7 linked regions of the Macaca mulatta genome follow. The main gene of each other region encodes a partner of the protein of the gene in region 3 in a complex. Links are inferred from orthologs where the notes say so. Each region holds a gene or a part of one and is shown on either strand. Other genes may lie near its edges. The genes, in order: PBRM1, SMARCD3, SMARCC1, SMARCD1, SMARCD2, ACTL6B and DPF1.

What was found.
Region 1: SMARCC1 (region 3) and PBRM1 share a complex: the UniProt entries of both Homo sapiens proteins name them as parts of the SWI/SNF-B (PBAF) chromatin remodeling complex. The link is inferred for Macaca mulatta from reciprocal best matches to the Homo sapiens genes SMARCC1 and PBRM1.
Region 2: SMARCC1 (region 3) and SMARCD3 share a complex: the UniProt entries of both Homo sapiens proteins name them as parts of the BAF complex. The link is inferred for Macaca mulatta from reciprocal best matches to the Homo sapiens genes SMARCC1 and SMARCD3.
Region 4: SMARCC1 (region 3) and SMARCD1 share a complex: the UniProt entries of both Homo sapiens proteins name them as parts of the BAF complex. The link is inferred for Macaca mulatta from reciprocal best matches to the Homo sapiens genes SMARCC1 and SMARCD1.
Region 5: SMARCC1 (region 3) and SMARCD2 share a complex: the UniProt entries of both Homo sapiens proteins name them as parts of the BAF complex. The link is inferred for Macaca mulatta from reciprocal best matches to the Homo sapiens genes SMARCC1 and SMARCD2.
Region 6: SMARCC1 (region 3) and ACTL6B share a complex: the UniProt entries of both Homo sapiens proteins name them as parts of the BAF complex. The link is inferred for Macaca mulatta from reciprocal best matches to the Homo sapiens genes SMARCC1 and ACTL6B.
Region 7: SMARCC1 (region 3) and DPF1 share a complex: the UniProt entries of both Homo sapiens proteins name them as parts of the neuron-specific chromatin remodeling complex. The link is inferred for Macaca mulatta from reciprocal best matches to the Homo sapiens genes SMARCC1 and DPF1.

The regions. Positions count from the first base shown.
Region 1 is NC_133407.1:116,242,471-116,246,962, reverse strand, and holds the start of PBRM1 (protein polybromo-1), read left to right. Parts: upstream 1-1,618; 5' UTR 1,619-1,783; intron 1,784-4,492. Other genes in the region: GNL3 (guanine nucleotide-binding protein-like 3), read right to left, coding at 1-24, 145-282, 694-752, 1,427-1,439. UniProt on the Homo sapiens protein: Involved in transcriptional activation and repression of select genes by chromatin remodeling (alteration of DNA-nucleosome topology). Required for the stability of the SWI/SNF chromatin remodeling complex SWI/SNF-B (PBAF).
Region 2 is NC_133408.1:190,675,167-190,678,933, forward strand, and holds part of SMARCD3 (SWI/SNF-related matrix-associated actin-dependent regulator of chromatin subfamily D member 3), read right to left. Parts: intron 3,575-3,767; coding exon 3,363-3,574; intron 1,603-3,362; coding exon 1,560-1,602; intron 741-1,559; coding exon 618-740; intron 501-617; coding exon 378-500; intron 128-377; coding exon 32-127; intron 1-31. UniProt on the Homo sapiens protein: Involved in transcriptional activation and repression of select genes by chromatin remodeling (alteration of DNA-nucleosome topology).
Region 3 is NC_133407.1:111,045,042-111,048,808, forward strand, and holds part of SMARCC1 (SWI/SNF complex subunit SMARCC1), read right to left. Parts: intron 2,908-3,767; coding exon 2,794-2,907; intron 1,387-2,793; coding exon 1,233-1,386; intron 200-1,232; coding exon 86-199; intron 1-85. UniProt on the Homo sapiens protein: Involved in transcriptional activation and repression of select genes by chromatin remodeling (alteration of DNA-nucleosome topology).
Region 4 is NC_133416.1:57,265,299-57,269,065, reverse strand, and holds part of SMARCD1 (SWI/SNF-related matrix-associated actin-dependent regulator of chromatin subfamily D member 1), read right to left. Parts: intron 1,176-3,767; coding exon 1,040-1,175; intron 1-1,039. UniProt on the Homo sapiens protein: Involved in transcriptional activation and repression of select genes by chromatin remodeling (alteration of DNA-nucleosome topology).
Region 5 is NC_133421.1:73,633,031-73,636,797, forward strand, and holds part of SMARCD2 (SWI/SNF-related matrix-associated actin-dependent regulator of chromatin subfamily D member 2), read right to left. Parts: intron 2,206-3,767; exon of another isoform or gene 2,158-2,205; coding exon of another isoform or gene 2,086-2,157; exon of another isoform or gene 1,799-2,085; intron 1,159-1,798; coding exon 974-1,158; intron 771-973; coding exon 728-770; intron 581-727; coding exon 458-580; intron 1-457. UniProt on the Homo sapiens protein: Involved in transcriptional activation and repression of select genes by chromatin remodeling (alteration of DNA-nucleosome topology).
Region 6 is NC_133408.1:47,859,253-47,863,524, forward strand, and holds the start of ACTL6B (actin-like protein 6B), read right to left. Parts: upstream 2,885-4,272; 5' UTR 2,863-2,884; coding exon 2,838-2,862; intron 2,408-2,837; coding exon 2,331-2,407; intron 2,116-2,330; coding exon 1,950-2,115; intron 1,648-1,949; coding exon 1,547-1,647; intron 1-1,546. UniProt on the Homo sapiens protein: Involved in transcriptional activation and repression of select genes by chromatin remodeling (alteration of DNA-nucleosome topology).
Region 7 is NC_133424.1:49,293,362-49,297,128, forward strand, and holds part of DPF1 (zinc finger protein neuro-d4), read right to left. Parts: intron 743-3,767; coding exon 615-742; intron 349-614; coding exon 259-348; intron 1-258. UniProt on the Homo sapiens protein: May have an important role in developing neurons by participating in regulation of cell survival, possibly as a neurospecific transcription factor. Belongs to the neuron-specific chromatin remodeling complex (nBAF complex).

The sequences.
Region 1 (4,492 bases), about 5.2 Mb from region 3:
CTGCTGCTGTTTTAGTTCTTCAAGCTGTGTCAGAGCCGTAAGGGAAATAGATGAACCAGTGACTAGTGTTGTTACCTTACTCTGAAAAATATCACACATAACACACTATACCACTCGTTGAAAATTCTGGCTAACATAACTTACCCTCTGTTTCCTTAGCTCAGCTTCCCTAAGAAGAGCCTCCTTAAAGGGAGCACTGTTTGGAACTCCTGGGTCTTTCCTAGGCTTCTTGTGACCCCGCTTTTTAGCCTCCTTCCTTAATTTTCGATGATGTTCTCGAACCTATTAAAGAGATTTTGTCTGCTTACAAAAATATCTTTATACTTAAGCAGAATTCAAGTGAGAAACCAATCTGGCTGCAATTTAGTTATGCCTATAAAATGTAATAGGAAAATGGAGCTTTAGTTGGAATCTTACAAAGTAATGCATAGGTAAGTATAAAACAGTAAGAAAATGTAACTAGAAGGCTCTCTATGCAGAGATTAACATGTTGAACAAATTTAGAGACTTACCACCAAATCACTGCACTTTCTCACAGCTGCACTCCTGATGCCTAAGAGCTCGTGCCCATGGTCAGTCTATCCAATGCCATTTTCCGAAACCAAATCACATTAACCCGGACTTTCCCGCAAAGGAACAGGGCAAAATCAGTTTAGCAGTGTTTAGTATAGCTCTCTCAAGCACTACACTTACCTTTTTTTGGATTTTATACCGCTTATGGCAGGTCATGCGTTTACTTGCTTTCTTTAACTCTACAAAGAAACATCACAAATCTGTTAACGCAAATGATTAGTTCTGGGTTAACGCACTATGGAGTTATATCCTTTTCTCGTGTTATTGGCTGCCAAACCTAACGTTAAGACTAATGCGAAATGCCTAATGCAAACATACATGCCACTTTCAAATTCCAGAGAATTAGATTCAGTAGATCCAGAACGGAGTCCAAGTTCCCTGCACCTACTCTTACAATATCAGAATAGGATCATACACAGCAGCGTGTACGAGCGTTTATGAGACCCAAAACGACAGCCACTTTGTGTCAAACAGCACGAATCATAAGGCAGGAGAGGAACACTGAGTCTGGGAGGCGATTCTCAGCTCTCACCTGGGCCAGCCTGCACGTGGCCACGGAAAGTAAGATATTGGGCCTGAAACCTGGCTCAGAAGCTGCTTCCTTACGAAAATCTAGCCTAGTCTTTCCCACCCTCTGCCCGTCTTCGTTCCACAGAATGAGCCCGCGCGGTTAACATGATCGCCGTAGGGACTTCCAACTCTCGGTCCTACGAGAAAATAGGGCCAAGGCCTACGCGTAGGCTCTCACCCCTATATCAGCAGAGACAAAGCCGTAGCCGTAAAAGAGCGTCGTGGAGGCTGCAGCAACTTCCAGACATGGGTCCCTCCACGCCCGCTTCCCGACCCCACTTACTAGGCCGCTTCATGTTGGCTGTAGAAAGCGGCACGAGCACGACACCCTGCCTCCTCTAGCGCCACGTGTGAAGTGAAGCCACTGACGAGCGTCACGCACTTACGCTGCCGCCGTAAAGTGCGTCACCGCCTCTCTGCGTGCGCGCGCACGCAGTGTCGCGCGGAGCAGGGATCGCTTGGCGGCCGCGGGACTGGTTTTGCGGCGGCACCGGGAGGGGTAAGGGAGGTGAGGGCGGCGGGTGCCGGAGCGACGGCAGCGGCCGCGGCCGGAGGAGCAATAGCAGCAGCCGTGGCGGCCACGGGGCGGGGCGCGGCGGTCGGTGACCGCGGCCGGGGCTGCAGGCGGCGGAGCGGCTGGGTAAGGCCGGGCCCAGGGCGGGTGGGGCCGCTCCCCCTCGGCCAGCTGCCGGGCCTTTGTGTGGGCCCTGGCGGGCGGGAGCCGCCGCGGAGGCCCCGCCCCGGCTGTGGGGACGCGCCGGTCGGGCCGGGCGCGCGGGGTTGGGCGGGGCACGGCGGCGGGCCTCCCGATGGGCCCAGTAGCTTTGTCGCACCTGCCGGCAGACAAAGGCGCACTAAGGCCCGGAAACTCCCCGCCCTCCTCTTTCCCGCTCGTCGCGGGGCAGCTTCAAAGCTGTCAACGTTTCCCTCAGCCCCCAATACCAGTGACAGGTCGGGAAAGTCCTTCATTTCCTCCGTTGCTCAGGGCCTCTTTTTTTTGTTGTTATTTCTTGGCGGTTCGACACAAACTCTTACTGATTTTTCTTTCCGTATTTTTTCCGGGTGTTTTAATCAATGGGACTTCTATAGTAGAGGCCAAATATTTCAGCTTCTCATCTCAACACCACAAAGAATCCGGGTTTTTGGGAACTGTGTATATTTCTTGGTTTGGGGAAGCACAGTTTTGTTATTATAATAAGTTTTAATTTAAAGGGGCAGAAAGAGTTGCAAAAATATGGAAAAAGTCCTGAAAAATAAGTACACGGTATAGTGAATATAGAAATTCTTACAGTAGCTATACAAGCGTATGTTGGGGTAAAATGTTTTAACTTACTTTCCAACACATTAGGACTCTTGACAAATAATTTTAGGTGTTATTTTTTCTCCATTTGGCTATGTGCTTCCCCCCAAAAAGTGCATATTGGACTCATGCACATAAAAGAGTAGCATAATTTTTGCTTTATTACTTACAGGTCGCCCATATTTGATTTTGAGCTCCAAAATGGAAGATTGGAAAATATGTTTTGAAGAGGTGTTTCAAATTAAAACAATAAAGAGTTATGTGTGGATGAATGGAAGGGCCTTGACCGCTTTCTTTGGCTTTGGGAATGTACAAAATACCTCAAATGTTAATACCCTACCAAAATTCCCAAGATAAGTAAATTGTGGTATATCTGTATGATAGATTACTATCAAGTCATCAAACATCATGAGGAAGAATGTTGACTTGGAAGAATCTTCACTAAAACATAGGCTGTAAAATATGTGGTTTGTTAACATTTTGGTAAAAAATAATAGGTAACTAAGGCATAAACACCAAAAAACTGTGAATGACAACGTTAAAAGTGGTTTTTTCTTGGAAGTAGATTTATAGGTGTTTTTTTCCTTTGAGTCCTGTTTTCCAAGATTTTGTTTTAGGCATATATTGTATTGCTAAATATTACTAGAAATACAGGAGAGGGCTAAAGTTCATAAACGGTTGAAATACACCGTTTGTCTATACTAAGTCGATATTCTTCCAGTTGCACATTATTAAGTATTCTTAACTGCCACTATAAATTATTGATTGTCAGACTCTTGAACTTGTAACTGTAATCAAGGCCATTTTAAAAATTGGAATTGAACTCTGGAATCTGTCTTTCCTCTTCATGGAAAAACAAAATTGCTGAAGGGATGCTTACAGGCTTTTTTTTTTTTTTCCTTTTTTGAGACAAGGTCTCGCTTTGTTGCCCAGGCTAGAGTTCAGTAAAGTGATCATGGCTCACTGAAGCCTTGTGCTCCTAGGCTCAAGCAGACCTCTCACTTCAGCATCCCGAGTAGCTGGGATTACAGATGTGCAGCACCACACCCAGCTAATTTTTATTTTTGTAGAGACAAGGTCAATCTGTGTTGTCCAATCTGGTCTTGAACCCTCTGCCTCAAGCGGTCATCCTGCCTCAACCTCTCCAAGTGCTAGGATTACAGATACGAGACCCTGTGCCTGGCTGAGGCCTTATAAACTATGCAAAAAAAGCTTTTTTTTTTTTAAAGGTCGCACTCAAGTGCACTTTCTTTTCTTTTTTTTTTTTTTTTGGAGACAGAGTCTTACTCTGTCCCCCAGCCTGGAGTGCAGTGGCACGATCCTGGCTCACTGCAATCTCTGCCTCCCAGGTTCAAGCAATTCCTGTGTCTCACCCTTTCGAGTACCTGGGATTACAGGCCCATGCCACCACCTCGCCTAGCTAATTTTTTGTATTTTTGATAGAGACGGGGTTTCACCATGTTGGCCAGGCTGGTCTTGAACTCCTTACCTCAGGTTATCTGCCCACCTCAGCTTCCTAAATTGCTGGGATTACAGGCATGAGCCACTGTGCCTGGCCCTAAGTGCACTTTTAATACATTTATTAAAAGATAAATTGAGCACCTAACCTATACCAAATACTGTTCTGTAAGACAGGTCTACAAAAATGAATATGCTGTTCCTGTGCCTGGGGAACTTGCAGAAGTGATTTCACTTTATGTCTTTTTTTTTTTTTTTTCTTGAGACAGGGTCTTGCTCTGTCGCCCAGACTGGAGTGCAGTGGTACGATCTCGGCTTGCTGCAACCTCCGCCTCCTGGGTTCAAGCAATTCTCGTGCCTCAGCCTCCCGAGTAGCTGGGTTAACAGGCATGCACTGCCTCACCCAGCTAATTTTTTTTTTTTTTTTTTTTTTTGAGACTGTCTTGGTCTGTCGCTTAGGCTGGAGTGCAGTGGTGCCATCTTGGCTCACTGCAACCTCTGCCTCCCGGGTTCAAGTGATTCTCCTGCCTCAGTCTCCCGAGTAGCTGGGATTATAGGTGCGTGCCACCACGCTCAGCCAATTTTTTTGTA
Region 2 (3,767 bases), on a different chromosome or scaffold from region 3:
AATTCAAGGGCGGAGGGGCTCTTGGTCTTACCTCAACAAGGTGGTTGTCAGGACCATAAAGATCTTTGTCCAGCTCGATGACCAAACTCTTGAAGAAAGAAGAGAACTTCCGCTTCTGTTTGCTGGGCTGTGGGAGAGGAACAGGAACCATGGGGGCAGAACAGGGACAGGGTGGGAGAAGCAGAAGGAGGCCAAGTTGGCAGCAGACAGGGCAGTGGGCTTAGATGAAATCCTCTGCACCTGGAATGTCTCTAGGCCTGCCCCCACCTCCCCAGCCTGGGCTGACTCCCTAGCCCTTAGTGCAGACACTTTGTTCTGTTCTCAGTGCAGCCCGTGCCCACCCCAGGACACCTGGAGAGACCTGGGCCGGGACGTACATCATCCAGGAGCTTCCCCTCCACCCGTAGCTCCCAGGAGGCAATGCTGCCATCGGAGTCCTCAGCGTCAGGCTTCGCAGGGTTAAAAGTGTTGGAGATATAGAGACGCAGCTTCCGCTTTTGCTGTAGAAATAGAGTGTAGAACCTGGCAAATGCTGTGTGCTTCCACCCTGACTACCTTGCTTCCCCATCCTGGTCACGCGACTCAAGAGTCCCCTTCCTACCCCCGAACTAAGGCACCTTCATGGGCCTCTTCAGAGCCTCCTGGATGTCCACCCGCTTCCGCATGATGGTTTGATCCAGTTTCCTCTCAAATGCCAAGAGGTCCATGTAAGCCTGGGACTCGGGGACCAGCTCCCGAATCTGGAGGAGGAGGAGCAGGGCAGGAGTCAGAGGCTCGAGTCCAGGGTTGTACCATGGAATGTATGCATGTTGTGCAATCCTAGGGTGCAAAAGATGTCGGGGGAGCCATCCTACTTCTGGGCATGGAGCTTTGACAGTGGGAACAGGACCTCTCCCCAGGATGCCATTATCCAGCAGTAGGGGCCTTGCTGTGTAGGGATAACAATTGCTTCTCCCTTTAGGAAGAGCCTTGTGTATCATCACGGGGAGGAGGTAGCAACTGTGGAACCCAGCAAAGCACTAGCCTTTAGTCTCCTCATCCTGTCATTTTCTATGTCATATGCCCACTGGGCTTCCCCTGGGCCCCTGCAAAGTGCCTAGTAGGGGCTCAATCCCTGGGACAGTTGGACAGCAGTGCTTTCTTCTTTGCTGGCACATTGCTCAGCCCCCACACCTGTCCCAACTGTGCTGTCCCCCATATCCAGCTGGACCTGGGTCCCTTTAGGATGCTCAGGATCTCTGGCCACCTTCTATCCCCTTCATTCTGCCTGGCAGCTTTTGATCCCCTAGCTCTTGCCCCCTTCTTGTCCCACAACTCTGTCTTAGTACCACTTGGATCCAGCCCCCTGACAGGCCCCTGTGTTCTGGCCCCAGTGGCTCTGCTGCTTCCCTCCACCTCACCCCCTCCCTCTGGCCTAGGGAGCCTCACTTACTAATGAGTTTTTTTAAACAAAAAGTGAAAGTGACTGTGACACTGAAGCTCTGCTTTTGAGGGGGGAGGGGAGGGCAGAGCAGCAAAGGGTAGGGGGTGGGCTGGGGGCTGCTGTGAAAGACACTCACCCTTTGAGGGAGGATTTTGTCAGCCATCTTCCTCCTCTTGGCACTGTACATTTTTTAAAGAAAAAACCAGGTTACCATGGCGACAGATCTGGGAGTAACGAGGCCACCTGCTAAATTATCCCGACATCTCCGCCCGCCTGGCTGGGGTTCCCACAGCCCGCTTGTCTGCCCGCCCAAGGGCTATGACGGTGGTGTGTGGAACTGGTGCTCTGTCCTCTCTAAGGACACAGGGGTGACCCGTCCATTCTCTGGCCTGGGAGCCCCCTTCTAACCTGCCACATCCTTAGGGACAGAGAAATTTAGACTTAGGAGGGACTGGCGAGTGGGGGTGGTGCTGCCAAAAGATGGGAGCTGCAGAAGTGTTTGAGGAAAGGTGGGGATGAGGGAGGACAAAGGAGAGGGAAGCCAGGTCTGAGGACCTTTTCTGGAAAGCAGGGGGTGCCCTGTCCAAAGGATTCTAAGCTCAGAGGGAGGGAGATAGACGACTTCCTTCCTATCCATGGAGCGGGAGGTGATGGTGTGAAGCTGGCGGGACTTGCATCCCTTCCAGGCACCCTGGGCTTGCAAGAGAATGCTGATGAGCAGGGGTACTCATGCCCTGGGACTACCTGGCAACAAGGTGAGGGACATGCTGCAGCCATAGGCGCCCAGAATGTGCATGGGTGTGACTTCAGGCTGAGGCCAAACTGACTAGGCCCAGGGTAGTAGCAGCTGGATGTGAGCTCTTTCTGACCCACTAGCTGCTGCTGACTAACCCAAAAACCCCCAGAAAAACCTTGGCGGGTCAAGAGATGAAAACGCAGCCTAGAGAATAGCTCCATACTGCCCCCGTGTGGTGTTCTCAACCACTACCCCCTCCCTATGCAGAAATCTAAGGCTAACAAGCAGATTTCATTAAAGGTCTGGTTTGTTTTAGACAGATTATCTTTGTGTAACTCTCCATTTATACAAGATAAATCAGGGAATTACCGTTTGCTGTACAAAATGACGATGCACTTTACAAAATAATTCATCATGGGATTCCTATAAGTGGTGAATTTTACCTGATGTGTAAAAAATACTTAATAATGAGGTAAAATTGATATTACACCTTTTATAGAAATCCATCTGTTGTGCAAAAAAAGCATGTGTATTTGGCTAAATACTGAAATCCAGAGGGGCACTGCTGTTGCCAGGAGCCAGCAGGGGCTTTAAGGGTGCCACCAGCTGCTGGAGGAAAATAAGGCAATGGGCTGGCCCTGGTGGCTTGGGAGCAGACCTGGTCCAGAGTGCCTAAGAATTAAGAGCGGAACTGGGCAGAGACCACCTACCACAGGGCAAATCCCCAAGCTCCACCCCCAGGGCCAGAGAGTCCCATTGAGAAAATCTGGAGTGGCTTTGAAACAGTCCGGGGTCTGGCAGGAAGGCTCAGCGGAGAACTACACTTTGGGCAACACAGTCCTACAGCTCTGCCCTCAGTCCCACTGGAAGCCCCGCCCCCAACCCAAAGACTGAAGCATCACCCAGAACCTGATGGGTGGAGAGAGGGACTGAGCAGGTGACAAGGAGAAGGGTGAGGGGAACGTGCAGGGAAGCGGTACCGGCTGCCGACGGCCACAGCCTGTCTCTACCGTGGGCACACAAAAGAATCAGGCCGGTGCCCCCTAAGCCCACCTCCCCAGAGGGCATCCGATCCGGGAAGCCTCGCTCCCTGCTAATCATTCTTCCTCACCTCTTCCAATCCCCGCTACTCTCTCACCTGGTCCCTGCGGGTCCCCAGGGCCCGCCCCTGCACGCCCCCTCCGCGCCGGGCCTCCCACTCACCTGCGGCTCCGCGCGGGGGCGGTGGGCACCGGCTGGCCCTGGCTCTGTGCCTGGCTCTGCCCGGGCGGGGGCGCTGCTCGCTTACGGGCGGGCTCCATGCCCGCGGGGGCCAGGCCGGGTCGCACGGCGGGGCTGCCCATGTAGGGGGAGCCCGGGGGGCCCATGGGCGCCCCCTGGTGGGGCATCCGGGCTCCAGACGGCATCCCGGGGCGCTGTGGGTGGGCGGGGGTGAAGCAGAAACGGGCGCCCGTGGGTCAGACCAGGGCCCCCAGCTCCAGGCGCGGTGAGCCGGCGTCTCCCCTCCCCCACCAGACCCTCGGCTGGTGACCCTGAGCGCTGAGCGATGGGTGGGAACGATGGGTAGGAGGGGCAGGGGCGCCGGAATACGCGCGGCTCTGGCGGAGG
Region 3 (3,767 bases):
GAGTAGAAAGCTCATCAGATGTATCTTAGAAGGACTAAGATGTGCTGGATTGTAGCCTACATGTGATTAGAAAAAAAATCCTTACCTTTGCTAATGTTTTCTTGGAGTAAATATCAGTACGTAGACCAAAGTTCTGCAAATCAATTGGTTTTTCCTTGTTTTTCTCAGGAAAATTTAGCATCTGTTGAGCAGCAGGAACCTGAGTCAAATAAATGATAAACGGCTGAGTTAGCCTCTTTAAAGTCAAGAGGGTAAACGTTTTTTAAAATTTGTTTAGGCCGGGCGCGGTGGCTCATGCCTGTAATCCCAGCACTTCGGGAGGCCGAGGCGGGCGGATCACAAGGTTAGGAGCTCAAGACCAGCCTGACCAAAATGGTGAAACCCCATCTCTACTAAAAATACAAAAATTAGCTGGGCGTTGTGGCATGTGACTATAATCCCAGCTACTCAGGAGACTGAGGCAGTAGAATTGCTTATAACCCGGAGGCGGAAATTGCAGTGAGCCAAGATCATGCCACTACACTCCAGCCTGGGGAGCAGAGACAGACTCTGTCTCCAAAAAAAAAAAAAAAAAAAAAAAAAAAAAAGGTTAATATTGGAACTTAAGCCACTCTTGGTGGATTTCCTACGAAAAACAATAAATACCCACACTTCTACACTATACTTCTAACAAAAATTCAACATACAAGTTACATTTTGGTGTCCCTTAAGTCCAGAAAGGATAACAAATTTTCATTACTATATTCTATTTCACAATGGAACAAAATTTATACCTTAGGTTCCTGTGAATCCAACTTAATGCTATACAGAATTTGTCTGACATAATCTGTTTGATAATGTATATATGGATGTCCACTTTACAAATCTTAGGACAAGTTATAAAGATTTCTTTGCTTCACGTTTCTAGAACACAGACTGAAGGAAGGGAAAGAAGATTTTGCATCATCTGCTTACTTATGTGTGTCTTTTTGATGACAGAAGGATAAAGGGAGTTATGCATATAAAAGTAAATTAATAATTTGATAGACTAAGGCATTGGGTTTTGGGATTGGTGGGACAGCATTAACTTAAACACTATATATTCTTTTGGACTGTAATATTTACAGTACACCAAAACACACATACAAACAAGCATCAAAGAAACAGCACTAACAACAGCATTCCTAAATAGATATGCTATAAACAGACATTTGTTACTATTCAGGTCTGATGAAAAGTCAACATTAATTTACCTGAGGTGATCGAAGATGCAGAGGCACAAGCCCAGAGGGAGTATCAGCTAATACATTAAAATGAGGAGTAGGAGGAGGTCCCATTGCCATAGGTCTACTTTCCGGGTCAACTTGGTAATTAACGAGTCCCCACTGCTCTAAAAAGGCATGGACCCTAAAGAATAAAGCTCGGAAAGTTAAAATCTAAAGAATCAATTTCATGTGCTTTATTATCATCATTACACCATTAAAAAACAGAAACAATAAAACAAGTAAATGTGCTCAGCAGGCTATCAAACACCACAAATTACTTGACAGATTTTGTTTGTTATGTAGGGAACAATTTCTACAAGCCACAAATAATGTTGATAACACAGCACCCCCCAAACCTATTACAAAGTTTAATCATTTAAATCACAGAAATGAGAGCACAAATACGCATTTAGGTCCATGGTAATAAAAGAACCCACACACAGACCAAATACACACATAGAAAAAATCCACATTTTTCTTGACAGAGTCTCGCTCTGTCTCTCAGGCTGGAGTGCAATGGTGCAATCTCAGCTCACTGCAACCTACTCAGCCTCCTCGGTTCAAGCGATTCTCCTGCCTCAGCCTCCCAAGTAGCTGAGAGTACAGGTGCCCGTCACCATGCCCAGCTAATGTTTGGTATTTTTAGTAGAAACAGGCTTTCACCATGTTGGCCAGGCTGGTCTCGAACTCCTGACCTCTGGTGATCCACCCACCTCGGCCTCCCAAAGTGCTGGGATTACAGGTGTGAGCCACTGTACCTGGCGGGTTTTTTTTTTGTTTTTTTTTTGGCAGAGCTAGGGCGCAGAGTTTATCCACTCCCAACCTGAATCTACTCCTTCCCTGGTTATTTTATGATTTGACTAAAAAAATTAAAATGTGAACTGTAAAATCTAGAAAACTAAATTAAATATTTATCTTACTTATTTTATTTTTTTGAGACACAATCTCGCTCTGTCGCCCAGGCTGGAATGCAGTGGGACAATCTCAGCTCACTGCAATCTCTGCCTCCTGAATTCTCCTGCCTCAGCCTCCCCAATAGCTAAGATTACAGTCATGTGCCACCACGCTCGGCTAATTTTTATATTTTTAGTAGAGAAGGGGTTTCACCATATTGGCCAGGCTCGAACTCCTGACCTCAGGTGATCCGCCCACCTTGGCTTCTCCAAGTGCTGGGAATATAGGCGTAAGCCACTGCACCCAGCCTAAATTAAATATTTTAAATTTTCAACCTCTAATGCTGAACACAGTGCTCACGCCTGCAATCACAATACTTCAGGAGACCGAGGCAGGAGAATTGCTTGAGGCCAGGAGATTGAGACCAGCCTTGGCAACATTATGAAATCCCATCTCGACAATAAAATTAAATTAATAAAATAAAATAAAAATAAAATAAATTGAATGAAATGAAAGGAAACAAAATATAATCCACCCCTAAATGACACAACTAAAATTAGGTGTTTTACCCAGTTGAAACAACCAGTTTAATATGACAGCAAAGCATAAGTAAATTCCTACAGTTAAATGTCTCAGAAAAAGTCAAACATTTTACCTCATCACAGCACACACATCTCCAGTCAAGTTCCTCCGACAAGCAGTGCTAGTTAAATACTCTTGGGGGTTTAGGCGATACGTGTCAATCATAAAATTTCGATATGCCAAGTATCTAAAAAGCAATGGCAAAATTCATAAGGTGGACACGTATCCTTTCAGAAACAATGTTACTCAGAAACTCAAAAATCTTCAGATTCCTTAGAAATACAATAAATTAAGACAAGAGCATAAAAAAACGGTGATATTATATTGCATATTAAGTTATGAGTGAATTTAGAACCACAAATATGCAAAACAACTGTTTACTAATGTATAATAACAAGTAATGTAACGACATTCATGTGAAGTAACATAAATTCAAACTTGGTCATGGTGGTAGTTAACTGCAGAATTTGAAACTAACACATGGTTACATAGGCTATCTGCCTCACTACCACATATCTATACTTTACTGTGTGCAGGGCACTGTTATAAGCAATGTATGTCTGACAACTGAATCCTCATAATCGCTCCATATTGCAGGTAGGGTCTGCTATCATCCCATCTATGGGTGAGGAAACAAACACTGAGTTGTTAGAGAATTTGTCCTAGCCACAGGGTTGGTAATTGATGGAGCCAGAATTCATCGCACCCAGTGTGGTGGCTCTTCAATCTATGCTCTCAACCTCTGTTGCCTATCACTTCTGTATTTCAAATGTGGCACGTGGATTTGGCTCTGAAAATAGCTATGTAACTTCTCGTGGCAGTTCTTTAAGGGAGATCATGGCTGGGCAACAAGTAGAATCCATGAGACCAAATCCAGAAAAGAACATACGAAAATGGAGAGAGAGACTGAGATTCTGTTACAGCAGATTCCAATGACTTCTGTCACAAAATACAGTACTTAATAACAAGAGTGTTAAGGACTTTGAGACCTAGCAACAGTTCTTGGCACACAAGAAAAACAAAACTCAGGCAGCCAAGATCATGCCA
Region 4 (3,767 bases), on a different chromosome or scaffold from region 3:
CCAGCACTTTGGGAGGCCGAAGCGGGTGGATCACCTGAGGTCAGGAGTTCAAGACCAGTCTGACTAATATGGTGAAACCCCGTCTCTACTAAAAATACAAAAATTAGCTGGGCGTGGTGGCGGGCACCTGTAGTCCCAGCTACTCAGGAGGCTGAGACAGGAGAATCACTTGAACCCAGGAGACGGAGGTTGCAGTGAGCCAAGATCACGCCATTGCACTCCAGCCTAAGCGACAGAGCAAGACTCCATCTCAAAAAAAAAAAAAAAAAAAAAAAAAACAAGATTTAGTTGGGGCATCAACTCTTCCAGCAAAGCCTCCCTTTTTCCTTTGTGTTCCCAAAGCACTTTTGGCTTTATTTGCAAGGACTGTGTCTAATAATAACAATCCAGATAACAATAATAGTAGCAGAAGTTACCATTTGTTGTTTTTGTAAGTGCCAGATACAGACTCAAGTCTTTACATATACTCCCTCATTTAATTGTCATAGCAACCTGATTAAAATAGGTACTATGGGCTGGGCATGGTGGCTCACGCTTGTAATCCCAATACTTTGGGAGGCCGAGGCTGGCAGATCACTTGAGGTCAGGAGTTGGAGAAGAGCCTGGCCAACATGGCGAAACCCTGTCTCTACTAAAAATACAAAAATTAGCCAGGTGTGAAGGTGGGTGCCTGTAATCCCAGCTACTTGGGAGGCTGAGGCAGGAGAATCACTTGAACCCAGAAGTGGAGGTTGCCGTGAGGCAGGATTGCACCACTGCACTCCAGCCTGGGCGAGAGAGTGAGACTCCTGAAAAGAAAAAAGAAAAAAAAAAAGGTACCATGGTCTCTATTCCACAAATCAGAAACTGAGGCTCAGCGCTATTGAGAGTATCCCCACAATCAGAATTCATTTGAGTCTGGCTCAAACCAGCACCAAGCACAGTACCTGACATATACTGGGTGTCGCCATATTTTGAATGAACACTAAAAATCAAAAGGAGGCCTTGAAGCTGTGATAGGGGCTGGTGGTACCCAACCGTCCAGGGCACAGACCCCTACCTTGTTGTCTAGAGTAGCAATCTCCTGTTGGCTGGCAGTGGACAGCAGAAAAGAATTCATCTGGGTCTTCAAGGTGTCATCCACTTCAACATCAATGTCATAACAAGCTGTCTTTTTCTGATCATTCGGGTCAACACTGGACAGGAAACCAAAGGGGCCTGGTAAAGAGCTTGTCCCCTAAGACCTAATTACACAGGGTCAAAAAGATGACCCAGGATGAAGAGAAAAGGGGCTAATTGCAAAAGGGCCCAACAACTTCTGGGTGTGACAGAAATGTTCTATACTTTATTGTGGCAGCTACATGGTATACAGATCTGGCAAAAATCTTCAGACTACACTTTCAATTGGTATACTCTGTTATATATAAATTATACTTCAATAAAGTTATTTATTTAAAAAGTCAATGGTAAAAATTCAAGCAGTACAAAAGGTATCCTGTGAAAAGCAGTTCCTTCCTCTCCAAAGGAAATGACTGCTACAGTCTCCTATATATCTTTCTCCCTTTAAAAAAAATTTTTGGCAGCCAGGCATGGTGGCTTACGCCTGTAATCCCAGCACTTTGGGAGGCCAAGGTGGGCGATCACCTGAGGTCAGGAACATGGTGAAACCCCATTTTTACTAAAAATTAGCCAGACATGGTAGCTTATGCCTGTAATCCCAGCTACTGGGGAAGCTGAGGCAGGAGAATCTCTTGAACCTGGGAAGCAGAGGTTATAGTGAGCCAAGTTCATGCCACTACACTTCAGCCTGGGTGACAGAGTGAGATGGTCTCAAAAAAAAAAAAAAAAATTTGGCGAGCCATGGTGGCTCATGCCTGAATTCCTAACACTTTGGGAGGCTGAAGTAGGAGGACTGCTTGAGCCCACGAGTTTGAGACCAGCCTATACTACACAGTAAGACCCCAGGTTCTACAAAAAATTTCAAAATAATTCCTGGGCTAGGTGGCACACATCTGTGATCCCAGCTACTCAGGAGGCTGAGGTGGGAGGATCACTTGAGCCCAGGAGGTCGAGGATGCAGTGAGCCATGATTACACCACTGCATTCCAGCCTGGGCAACAGAGAGAGACTCTGTCTCAAAAAAAAAATAATAATAATAATAATAATTTTTAAAACTTTTTTGGCCAAGTGTGGTGGCTCATGCCTGTAACCCCAGCACTCTGGGAGGCCAACACGGGCAGATCACTCAAGGCCAGGAATTCAACACCAGTGTGGCGAACATGGTGAAACTCCATCTCTACTAAAAATACAAAAAGTGGCGCATGCCTGTAATGACAACTACTTGGGAGGCTGAGGCACAAGAATTGCTTGAACCTGGGAGGCAGCGGTTACAGTGAGCAAAGATCACGCCACTGCATTCCAGTCTGGCAGAGCGAGACTCTATATATGTTTAAACAAACGAAGCTTTTTTTTTTTTTTTTTTAAGATGGAGTCTCGCTCTGTTGCCCAGGCTGGAGTGCAGTGGCACAATCTCGGCTCACTGCAACGTCTGCCTCCCAAGTTCAAGTGATTCTCCTTCCTCAGCCTCCCAAGTAGCTGGGACTACAGGTGCCCACCACCACACCCACCTAAGTTTTGTATTTTTAGTAGAGATGGGGTTTCACCATATTGGCCAGACTGGTCTTGAACTCCTGACCTTGTGATCCGCCCGCCTTGGCCTCCCGAAGTGCTGGAATTACAGACATGAGCCACTACACCTGACCAAACAAACTTTTTTTCATTGTTTCAGAGACAGGATTTTGCTATGTTGCCCAGGCCGGACTCGAACTCCAGGACTCAAATATCTACCCACCTTCGCCTCTGGAGTAGCTGGGTCTACAGGAACGTGCCACTGTGCCTGGCTTTCTCCCTTTTAAACTAAAATTGACCCCAAAAATAAAGTCAAACACAAAATTAAAAGTGGTCTAACTTTAAGCATAGGAATACAGGACAGACCAACTTCTACTGACCTAATTTATAGGTCGAGGAGTTACTACTGCGTAAGTAATGGTTCAGGGTCTTATCTTTCTTCTTTTTCTCCCCTCTCCCTCTCTGTCATCTTGTAGGTTCAGGGTCAAAAGAAAAAAAAAAAGCCCACCAGGCGTGGTAGCTCATGCCTGTAATCCCAGCACTTTGGGAGGCTTGAGGCAGGTGGATCACAGAGTTAGGAGATCGAGACCATACTGGCCAACATTGTGAAACGCCATCTCTACTCAAATACAAAAAATCACCGGGGCGTACTGGCATGCTGTAATCCCAGCTACTCAGGAGGCTGAGGCAGGAGAATCGCTTGAACCCAGGAGGTGGAGGTTGCAGTGAGCTGAGATTGCACCGCTGCACTCCAGCCTGGCGACAGAATGAGATTCTGTCTCAAAAAAAAAAAAAAAAAAGAAAAGAAAAAAAAAGAAAAAAAAAGTCCTTACTGGAATTAATATGGAATAAAGGAAGAAAGGCAAAGAGACTATATCCAACTACAGAGACATGCTTCTTTGAGAAGGAATTTTCTTCACTTCCTATCTGCCTAGAGATGCCTTGCTCTCCATCCTCTAAACAAAAAAGTGAATAGAAGTAATGGAATTGGAGGCTCAGAATAGAATGCTGTACCATCCAGAGAAAAGATGGCCACTGAGCTCTTCCATCAGTGAAGAGCTGGTAAATGTTTAACAACTGATCTTCCAAAGGAGAGCAGGAGGAAGTGCCCAGATATGTGCATTTGCTGATCTTTGGGCTTTAAATAATCTGATTTCGGC
Region 5 (3,767 bases), on a different chromosome or scaffold from region 3:
ACTGCACTCCAGCCTGAGTGAAAGAGCGAGACTCTATCTCAAAAAAAAAAAAGAAAAAAGAAAATATTCTCTATGGATGGGGAAGGGGAAGGAGAAAGGAACTAACTTTATCCTCTAGTGGTTTTCAAACTTTTGAGACCACGACCCATAATATTTACATTTTTCAGTTATGACCCAAGGTCTGCATATCTATTTATCGGAAACAAAAATATCATGAAAGAATACCTTAACTACTATGGTAAGTACTACTGTGAAGTATTTTTAGATTTTCTACTGTCATATATTAATTTAAAACATACTGGCCCTAACACATTCAACTGAGTTCGTACTCTACTAGTGGGCTGCATCCTGCATGTGAAAAACCCAGCTCTAGCCCAACTTGCTTGGCCCCTGGAAAACAAGGGGGTGGAGGGCAAGGAAACCTGGGAAGGCTAGAGGTGGTCAAGGTCACACATACTGTCAGAGGCTTTTTAATGGCCTCCTGGATCTCCATCCGCTTGCGAGCAATGGTCTGGTCCAGCTTCCGCTCAAAAGCCAAGAGATCCATGTATGCCTGAGACTCTGGGACAAGCTCCCGGATCTGGAGGAAGGTAGCAGAAGCTCATCAGCTTGCTTCAGCCAAAGCCTGGCTCTTTCCTCCCTTCCTGCAGCCCAGGGTTGAGGGAGACGGATGCCCACCCCGAGGTGGCCACTGGGCAGGCCTCCCAGGCGTCCTCTTAACACTTACTCGCTGAGGTAGAACTTTATCTGCCATCTTCCTCCTCTTTAACCTGGGGAGTTCAGAAACCCACTTAAGAGATCAATGGTCCAAAAAAGGACACTCACCCCCGCAACGTCCCTCCAGTCTCCAGGACCCTCTCCCCCAAGAGAGCCTGGAATCTTCCTCAGACACCAAAGCTCTTAAGATAGAAGGAAACCCTCTGCTACCACCAGAGATGAGTGAGGCAGAGTGGAATAAGCAGGATGCTCTTACCCCCGGCGCTGGGCAGGCATGGGAGGCTGCGCCTGGGGCACAAGCAGGCGTTTTCGGAATGGATCCATCATGGTGGGTGGCATGCCAGGTCGAAGCGGAGCTGCTGCACCAAATGGGGAGCCAGCAGGGGGTCCCACCTGCAAGCCGGCCATGGGCATCCGGTTCCCTGGTGACATGCCAGGTCGCTGGGGGAAGTGAGCCAACGGGGGTGCATAGGTCAGGGGCAGGGCCCTCCAGGGCCCATAGCCTATGCCCTCCATCCCTCTCGTCAGCCAGGTTGGGCCTGAGCACCACGCCAGAGCCCTGCTGGAGCCCCAGGAACAAAGGAGAGCGGGCGTCGGAGCGAAGAGTGTAAACCATACCTGCCCTGCCCCCTGCAACCGCCCTGGCAGCCATGCCAGCGAATGAGGTCTGCCAGAGCCTGGGCTGGGAGGAGGGTCCTGCCTGCAGAGGGAAGGGCCTACAGGAGCCCCACCCAGTCCCTATTCTCTCAGACAGTCCCGCCAAGCCTTGCCCTCCTCTTTCCCCCATCATGAGGGAGAAGCATGGCTGAGAGGCACGGGGGCAGTGTCACTGCCAGGCAGAGGGGTATACTATATCATGAGCAGGCCAATGGTGCAGAGCCCCAATCCCCATCCTCTGTGGCCGAGGGAGAAAGGGGTCTGGTAGGCAGCAGCACCCCAGGTGAGCAGGGCTACAACAGGATGACTTGGAACGCGTACCAGCTGGTGAGGGCGGCCTCGGACAGGGTACCGGGACCCTGTACCCTGTACTCTGGTACCATATAGCCCCTACCCACAGCCCAGAACTGGACCCTCCTCTCACCTCCTTACTGCCCAACTACTGCCCCTATGCCAAAAGACCCCAGAAGGGAAGCCATGGCTCCTGGGTGGCCTGTGGGAAAGACAGCAGCTGGCACCTGGACTCTGCCCGTGGTCCAGGCACCACCTGGCAGCCAGGACTGGCTCTGGCTCCGTGTAGCCCTGGCAATCCCAAGCTGAAGAAGGGGGCTAAGATTATCCTGGGAGGCAAGGATCAGAGGCCTAGGCTGAGCAGCAGGAAAGTGGAAGATAGAAATAGCTTCTTTAGATGCCTGCAGAAGGATTTCCCACTTGAAGCCTTGCTCCCCGACATTTCTGTGGAGCCCATCTGGGAGTCACCTCCACCCCCACCCCCCTCCCCATGGCTGCTGCCTGCAAGGCCTGTTTGGCAGCTCTGCCTCGCACACACTGTCCCTGGCAGCTTCACAGGGCTGGCCCCAGGGCCCAGATTATGCAACGAGCACAACCAGCCAACCAAGCCCGGCAGGGTGGAGACTTGTACCAAATCAAAGGACCCTCCCCCACTCCAGCATCATGGAGATGAGATTCTTCCCCAACCTCTTCATCCTGCACTAAACCCATGTTCCCAAAACAGAGGGTCAGATTCTTGACCAGATGCAGAGATGGAAAGAAACATGACCCACAGACGTGAGGATGGGGAGAGGAGGAGCAGGGTGGGAGGGAGGTGTTTGGGAGAATAAAAACCTCAAAGTGGGGGGCTCTGGGGCTTTGGGAGTCCTGCCAAAGTCTCTCTCCATCAGGAAGAGATTAATCAGAGCTGTTGAAAGGCAAAAGACAACCTCTTTCTCTGCCTTAAGGATTGTTCTTTCTCTGGCCTGAGATTATAGAAAAAAACTGAGTGTGACTACAGCTGTAAGCCCGGGCCCAGACATCCCAGACTTTAGTTTTTCCTAGTGCCTGAGACAAAGGGAAGAACTGAAGCACTGGGTCCTGCAGAGTGTGAGCGAGGGCCCTATGGTCCCCAGGAAGCTTCCCGCTGCAGCGTTCACAGAACCTGCAGCACCACCCATCCCTCCTGGGCAGGTGCTCTGGTAACAGGAAGTCCTAAGACAAGGCTGCACAGGCAGGGCCTGGAATAGGCTCCACCTAGACATCTGCTCCAGGCTTCCCGGGCCCAGAGCCCCCAGCTCACTCAGGACCCCAGGGGAAGGCTGCTAACAGTTCAAATTCTAGCTGAGCTTTGCTAAGCTCCATACCTGGGCTTATAGGTGCTAGCAACTCCTCCCCCTTCAAAAAACAAAAAACAAAAACAACTCAGGAGTTAGGAAAAACAAACAAAAAACAGTCCAGAACTCTGAGCCTCCCTAACTCCCTGCTTGCAACAGGATCAGGTAGGCCTGGATCAATCCCCTGAACCCCAGATGAGGAATCCAGGGCTCCAGTGAGCATGCTTTGCCCTGCCCCAAATGTGGCCCTGATGCTCTGGAACCTGGGCCTGAGGGCCTCAGTTGGGGAACATACCACCACTCTCCCATGAGTAAAAAGGATTTTGAGGCAGGGCGCGGTGGCTCACACCTATAATCCCAGCACTTTGGGAGGCCGAGGCAGGTGGATCACAAGGTCAGGAGTTCAAGACCATCCTGGCTAAGATGGTGAAACCCCGTGTCTACTGAAAACACAAAAAAAATTAGCCGGGCATGGTGGTGGGCACCTGTAATCCCAGCTACTCAGGAGGCTGAGGCAGAGAATTGCTTGAACCTGGGAGGCGGAGGTTGCAGTGAGCTGATATCATGCCACTGCACTCCAGCCTGGGCGACAGAGTGAGACTCCATCTCAAAAAAAAAAAAAAAAAAAAAAAAAGATTTTGAACTTTTTGAACTCTCTGGAGTGAACCCAGAAATCTGAGGTTTTTGTTATTTTGTTGCCCAGGCTGGAGTGCAGTGGCAGGATCATAGCTCAATACAGCCTTGAACTCCTGGACTCAGGCAATCCTCCTGCCACAGCATCCCGAC
Region 6 (4,272 bases), on a different chromosome or scaffold from region 3:
TAATAAAAATGTAAATCTTGGGCTGGGCACAGTGACTCATGCCTGTAATCCCAGCACTTTGTAAGCTGAGGTAGAAGGATCGCTTAAGCACAGGAGTTTGAAGCCAGCCTGGGCAATATAATGAGACCCCATCTCTACAAAAGATTCTCTTAAAATTATTTCTAACTTAAAAAGAGTGTAAATACTGAATATTGATTTCTTTCAAAGTCTAAAATACAACTGGGCTGGGTGCAGTGGATCCCACCTGTAATCCCAGCATTTTGGGTGGACGACCCGGGCGGATCGCTTGAGCCCAGGAATTCAAGACCAGCCTGGAAAACATGGTGAAACCCTGTCTCTACAAAAAATTTAAAAATCAGCTGGGCGTGGTGGCTCATGCCTGTAGTTCCAGCTACTCCGGAGGCTGAAATGAGAGGATCACTTGAGCCCAGGAGACCAAGGCTGCAGAACTGTGCCACTGCAATCCAACTTGGGTGATAAACTGAGCGGAGCCCCTGTTTTTGAGACAAAATCTCAAAAACAAATAACAAACAACAACAACAACAAAAACAACAACAACAAAACCCACTGTACTTAAAGGAGGGTAATAGAAATATGTTGTGGCATAGGCTGGGGAGGAAAAAAGAGCTAAGTGATCATTTTCTAGAGTGGAAAATTCATTGATAATATCTAAAACTAAAAACTCCACAGGCAGCAATTTAAGTGTAATATTAGAGATATGGAAGAAAATACCCCCAAAATTAGCTAAAAAGGAGAAAAACAGTTGCTTCTATAAAGAGGAATCTATAAGGATATGGGTAAGAACATTTTTTAAAATGCAGTTAAAAAATTTTTTTAATTGTTATTGTTTTGATAAAAGAGATGGGTCTTGCCATATTGCCCAGGGTGGTCTCGAACTCCTGGGCTCAAGTGATCCTCTCGCCTTGGCTTCCCAAAGTGCTGGGATTACAGGTGTGAGCCCACATCCCCAGCTCACCAATGTTGACCAAAATAATAATAAGTTAAAAGGTCTAAAAAGTACTTGGAGGCTGGGCATGGTGGCTCATGCCTGTAATCCCAACACTTTGGGAGACCAAGGCGGGTGGATCACCTGAGGTCAGGAGTTCGAGACCAGCCTGGCCAACATGGCAAAACCCCATTTCTACTAAAAATACAAAAAGTTAGCCAGGCATGATGGCAGGTGCCTGTAATCCTAGCTACTCGGGAGGCTGAGGCAGGAGAATCCCTTGAACTCGGGAGGCAGAGGCTGAGATCTCACCATTGCACTCCAGCCTGGGTGACAGAGTGAGACTCTGTGTAAAAAAAAAAAAAAATTAAAAAAGGACTTGGAGATGGAGAAGGGCAGCAGAGTAGATAGAACAAGAAGAGAGCAGGAGGGATGGAGACTTAGGAAGGAAGGAAAGTGGTTGGGATGGGTGAGGGGAGTCTGAAAAGGGAAGGGAAGTGGCTGACATCGGTGGCTTGAGGGGAGAGGAGGAGAGGTGGATGGTGGGAAGCAGGTGCAGTGGAGATCGGGGTTGGACATGGGAAGGCAGGAGGCACTCACCGGGGCCTCGGACATGAGCACGGGGTGCAAGTTTGGCTCAGACTTGACGTGTTTGCTGTAGGTATGATCCAGGATGGCTCGGAAGCACTCCCAGTCCTCGACTGGGGCCAGAAGAGCAGAGTGGAGAAAGGCAAGAGGGCAGGCAGGGGTCAGGGACAGGAAGAAAAGGAGGGAGAAAGGCCAAGCCCAAAGGAGGGTCAGTGAGTCCAGGCCCAGGGGAACGTCCCCTCTTCCCAGAAACCTGCTGGGCCCCTGGGAAGGGAACCCAGCGAGAAGAACCCTGGCAGCGAGAAGAACCCTGGGGCTGCAAGGAAGACTCCTTGGGGAGTGGGGGCTGCTATGTCCCAGATCGTGGGGAGTGGGCTCCCTATCTGTCAGGAGGTGATGGGTGGGGGCCCCTTACTCATGCCATTCTTGAGGGGCGACATGACCTCCGCTCCATCCCGAGGCACGTGCAGGGCATTGGTGTCGATGTGGAAGATCTTCCCTTTCTTCTCTTTGTCCCCCTCCAGCTCCAGCCCGCCCCCCTCCTCCGCGGCCAGCAGCCCCACCGTGGTGGGGAAGTCAGCCTGGTGGGGAAGGGTTGGGGGAGGATCGGCAGGAGAGGGGTCACCCTCTTGCCCCTGTCCAGCCCCACGGCAGGGTCCTCAGCCCGCCCCTGGGTTTATTCCCACATTCCCGCTCAGCAGAGCTTCTGGGCGATCTGGGAGAGCCCTGGGTCACTGGAAAGCCTGAAGAAGGGTCCGGAGCCCCTAGGATTTAGAGAGGAGACTGGAAGGCTCACCTTGGGACAGTCCTCCCCAGCGTACCCAGCGCGGACTGAGAAGGAGCCAATGTCAAAGACCAGCGCCCCCACCTCATCTGTGAGGGGAGACAGGCCTGTAAGGGGACCTCCCCCGAAGTTTTTCCCGCTAGGTAGTTCCGAGAGAAAGTCAGGGCAGAGCCACAGACTCGCCACCTTCAACACCAGTCTGGAGCCGGTGGGAACTGGGCCTGGAGTCTGAGGTCCTGGGACTGGGGGTGGGGGCATCATACCGCCAGGGTCCCTTCTTGCCCACTGGCCTTGCTCAGGCCACCCTCCTGACGGGAAAGGAAGGGGCCGGGGCCAGGTGGAGGTGGGTTGTAAGGTAGAGAGGTTCGGCCCGGTGCGCACGAGAACGGAGCGCAGGGGAGGCGGGAACCCGAGCCTGAGACTGGACCCGTTCATGCGCGGAGGTGACAGGCCCCGGGGTGCCCAGAGCTCGGATGGATGGCGCGGGTTCGGAACGCAGGGGGCCGGAGGCTCGCTCACCTCCGCCGTAGACGCCCCCGCTCATAGTGCCCTCTGCGCTGCTAGCGGCCCGTGGGCGGTGGCGGGATCAGCACCGAGGCGGCCGGACAGCTCCCGGGATCCCTGGCGGGGCGGGGCGCACGGCGACCAATTGGGAGGCCGGATCCCCCGCCCCCAACGGCGCCGCCGATTGGCTGCCAGGCGAGACAATGACCGGACCGGGGGCCGCGGATTTAAAGGGGAAGATACCCTCCGTTAGGCGACCAGGAGGAGATGGGGCAGGGGGCGCCTAGCAGGGACTTAGAGACCGTCGCTAAGGAACGGGCGGCAGAGAGGAGAGCAGGGCAGAGGTGGAGACCAAGACTCTGCAGGACGACTGATGAGGTCCCTACCCCCTTGCTTTTTGTTTTTATTAAATTTTTTGGTGGAAACGGAGGTCTTGTTACGTTGCCCAGGCTGGTCTCGAACTCCAGAGCTCAAGCGATCCTCCTCAGCCTAATAGCAGGGATTACAGGCAGGTGCCAGCACACCTGGCAAATTAAAAAAATTTTTTTTATGGAGACAGGGTCTTGCTCAGGTTGATCTTGAACTCCTGGCCTCAAGCGATCCTCCCACCTCAGCCTCTCAAAGTGCTATGCCCGACCTCTACCCCCTTACTTTTTAAAGCAAGACTGGGGAGAGAGCTCCACTCCCCAGAAGGGTCATCTGTCTTCAGGCTGCTCTGAGCCCGGTTCTGCCACACCCAGGCCTAAATGGAATTGCCGGGAGAGGGAGGGAAGGGAAGATTAAGAGAGGGACCAGAGGGGGTGGGGGTGTGTCTCCATCTCTCTCTGTTTTTTTCTTTGTTTGTTGTTTTTTTTTTTAGAGACTGGCTGGTCTTGAACTCCTGGCCTCAATGTCCCAAAGTGCTGGGATTAAAAGCATGAGCCACCGTGTCCAACTTCCCTCCTTTGTCTTTCGCTGGCCCCTCTTTTCCTTGCCTTGCTCCACCCCTACCCCCACCACCCCAGTACCTGGGCGTTATACATGTGTACACATGCTTACACACATATACATACGTTCACACACAGCCCACCTGGCTTTAGCTTCTTTTCTCCATCTCTCTGTCTCTTCAGCGCCTATTTTCCTAAGGAGGCATTTATCAACAAGAGGGTTTTTGTTTCTTTTCTTTTTGAATTGGGGTCTTCCGTCACCCAGGTTAGAGTGCAGTGGCACGCTCACAGGTCACCGTAACTTTGAACTCCTGGGTTCAAGTGATCCTCTCGCCTCAGCCTTCTGAGTAGCTGGGACTTACAGGTGCACACCACCACACCTGGTTTTTTTTGTTTGTTTGCTTGTTTTAGAGAAGGGCCCTCACTATGTTGCCCAGTCTGGTCTCTAACTCCTGACCTCAAGCGATCCTCCCACCTTGGCTTCCTGAGTCATTGGGATTACAGGTGTCAGCCGCAGCACCGGA
Region 7 (3,767 bases), on a different chromosome or scaffold from region 3:
CAAGTTTTAGCTTCTTCCTCTGCGGCACGGGGATGAAGGTAGCTCTAACCCACTGCATAATCTCTGCTTTGCAAATGGCTTAATACAGATGAGCCTCAGTTTCCTCATCTGTAAAATGGGTATTAAATCCCCCACCCCTGCAGGCTGTTCTGGGATTCAATGAGGTCAGACTGTGGCAGGGGCCGACCACTGCGCCTGCTCCACGAATGAGACCTGTCATTAAGGGGAGCAGGGGAGAGGAGAACCTTGGGGTGATACCTTTCCTTTGGCCCTGTTCTTCCTCCTGGGAATGTCATCCTCCAAGTCTTCCACCTCGAGATCATGCGGAAACTCCAGCAACTGCTGTTTCTGGGCAATAGAGAAAGGAGACGGATCAAGAAAGTAGGAGCCACTGACCTGCTTTTGAGGGGCTCTGGGCAGAGGTGGAGATTGGGGATGAGAGCGTAAGTCAGGAGTTCTTCCAAACAGAGATGAAGTCTGGGAGGATGGAGACTGGGATGCCCGAGGGCTGGAGGAAACCGGGGGGTTTCAGAGCAGGAACATGAGGGCCCGGGCTGGCGGCCGGCAGGGGTGAGAGGAAGCCATGTCGGGGGGTCCCCCAGGGGTGGGCCTACCTGACAGTCCATAATGGTCTCCTCCTCCTTCAGCTCAATCTTCTTCTCCCCCGTCTCTGCACACAGCAGAGCCTCGAGGACGGGCCCTTCAGGGAGGCCACCCTCCTTCTTCAGGGGTGCTTCACAGTCTGGGGACAGGGCCATGGCAGGGTCAGATGGGGAAGTTGACCCTAGAGGACTCCTCAAACTATGCAGGTGGGGGGACCATGCTCTTTGCGGGAGGGAAGAAGCTTTCCCACACTCGGCCAGCAGCCGAGGCGAGGATTTAACTACACGCCCTAGAAGGGAGGCCCAGACCCCGGGGAGACCCAGCCACACCCTCAGATGCCCTGGGACGCACGGCAGGAGACACAGTCAGAACTTTGGATATACCGGAAAGCCTCAGAAAAAGACACAGGCCATCAGGCACACCCAGACCTACTCAGGGAAGACACAGCGACTCTTTTTTTTTTTTTTTTTTTGAGACGGAGTCTCGCTCTGTTGCCCAGGCTGGAGTGCAGTGGCCGGATCTCAGCTCACTGCAAGCTCCGCCTCCCGGGTTTATGCCATTCTCCTGCCTCAGCCTCCCTCCCGAGTAGCTGGGACTACAGGCGCCCACCACCTCGCCCGGCTAGTTTTTTGTATTTTTTTTTAGTAGAGACGGGGTTTCACCGTGTTAGCCAGGATTGTCTCGATCTCCTGACCTCGTGATCCGCCCGTCTTGGCCTCCCAAAGTGCTGGGATTACAGGCTTGAGCCACCGCACCCGGCCGACACAGCGACTTTTAAACACACCCAGACAAATACGGACAGATACACACACTCACAGAGGAGACACATGGACACCCATAGGGGACATCCAGACAGATTTTCTGAGACACACGCAGAAAGGAAGAGGCCCAACCAAGCTCTCCTTTTTCTTTTTCTTTCTTTCTTTTTTTTTTTTTTTTTTTGAGACAGGGTCTCGCTCCGTCACCCAGGTTGGAGTGCAGTGGCACAATCTCAGCTCACTGCGACTCCCAGGCTCAAGTGATCCTCCCATCAGCCTCCTGGGTAACTAGGACTACAGGCAGAGTGGTTGGCCCGCCACCACACCGGCTAATTTTTGTATTTTTGGTAGAGACGGGGTTTCACCATGTTAGTCAGGCTGGTCTCAAACTCCTGAGTTCAAGTGATCCTCTGCCTCAGCCTCCCAAAGTGCTGGAATTACAGGCACAAGCCACCATGCCTGGCCAAGCCACACTCTCAGATACAGCCTAGAGACTCAGAGAGGTATAGCCAGATCCTTGGAGACAGCCAGACACATGAAGGAGACATAGCCGGACCCATGGGTACTCTCAGAGATGCGCAGAGACAATCAGCTGGTCAGGTGCGGTGCCTCACACCTGTAATCCCAGCACTTTAGGAGGCCGAGGTGGGTGGATCACTTCAGGTCAGGAGTTCGAGACCAGCCTGGCCAACATGGTAAAACCTCATCTCTACTTAAAAACAAAATACAAAAATTGACTGGATGTAATTGCTCACGCCTGTAATCCCAGCTACTCAGGAGGCTGAGAAAGAGAATCACCTGAACTCGGGAGACAGAGGTTGCAGTGAGCTGAGATCGTGCCACTGCACTCCAAACTGGATGGAAGAAAAGAAAGAGAAAGAAACAAGGAAAAGAAAGAAAGAAAAGGAAGGGAGGGAGGGAGGGAGGGAAGAAGGAAGGAAGGAAGGAAGGAAGGAAGGAAGGAAGGAAGGAAGGAAGGAAGGAAGGAAGGAAGGAAGGAAGGAAGGAAGGAAGGAAGGGAAAGAAAGAAAAAAGAAAAGAAAGAAAGAAAGAAAGAGAAGAGAGAGGGAGGGAGGGAGAGAAAGAGAGAGGGAGAGAAAAAGAAAGAAAGAAAAAGAAAGAAAGAAAGAAAGAAAGAAAGAAAGAAAGAAAGAAAGAAAGAAAGAAAGAGAAAGAAAGAAAGAAAAAGAAAGAAAGAAAGAAAGAAAGAAAGAAAGAAAGAAAGAAAGAAAGAAAGAAAGAAAGAAAGAAAGAAAGAAAGAAAGAAGAAAGAATTAGCCCTCCAGATACCTAGGCCCCCCTGGGGAAGACAGCCAGATGAGATGCCTAGACACATAGTGGGGAGATACCAACATACCCAGGGAGAATTGCTCAGCTAGATACACACACACACACATAGGAGACACAGACAGACAGAGACACAGCCAGGTGGTCACTGCCACACTCCTGGGTACACACAGACCTTCGGACTCAGGAAGAGAAACTGACCCCAATGACCCTGATACTCCTAAACACATTCAAGGTTAAGTCCAGATCCTCTGATGGACTGACACACACGTGCAGAAATACACCTGATACACCAGACACCATCAGGAAGAGATTCTCCCAGACACTCCGAGGCACCTACACACCCACAGAAAGAGACGGCCGCACCGCGTAACACACCCAGACACACTGGGAAGGAGCTGGACGCCCTGACAAACCAGACATACACAAGACACAAGCCTTCTAAGACACTTGGAGACACCCGGGAAGATACACCTAAGAGAGGAAAGAGCTCCAACCAGACACTGAGACATCCAGACGCCCTTGGGGAGATACAGAGGCGGACACCCTCAGGCACCCACAGAAGAAAATACAGGCAGATGGCCGGGCACGGTGGCTCAAGCCTATAATCCCAGCACTCTGGGAGGCCGAGTCGGGTGGATCACCTGAGGTCAGGAGTTCGAGACCAGCCTGGCCAACACGGTGAAACCCCGTCTCTACTAAAAATACACAAAAATTAGCCGGGCGTGTCGATGTGCGCTAGGTGGGAGGTTGAGACAGGAGAATCACTTGAACCCACTAGGCGGAGGTTGCAGTGAGTTGAGATCGTGCCACTGTACTTCCAGCCTGGGCAACAGAGCCGGACTCCATCTCCAAAAAAAAAAAAAAAAAATACAGGCAGATACTGATCCATCCCAACTCCCAGGGGAAGGGATGCAGACAGAAACTCCATATACCCACACACACCTAACAGGTATCACTATGCCCTCCAATACCACTGGACCCCTTGGCGGGGTGTAGTGGCTCACGCCTGTAATCGCCACACTTTGGAGGGCTGAGAAGGGAGGATCCTTTGAGCTCAGGAGTTCGAGACCAGCCTAGGCAACATAATAACACCCTGCCTCTATTTTAAAAACAACA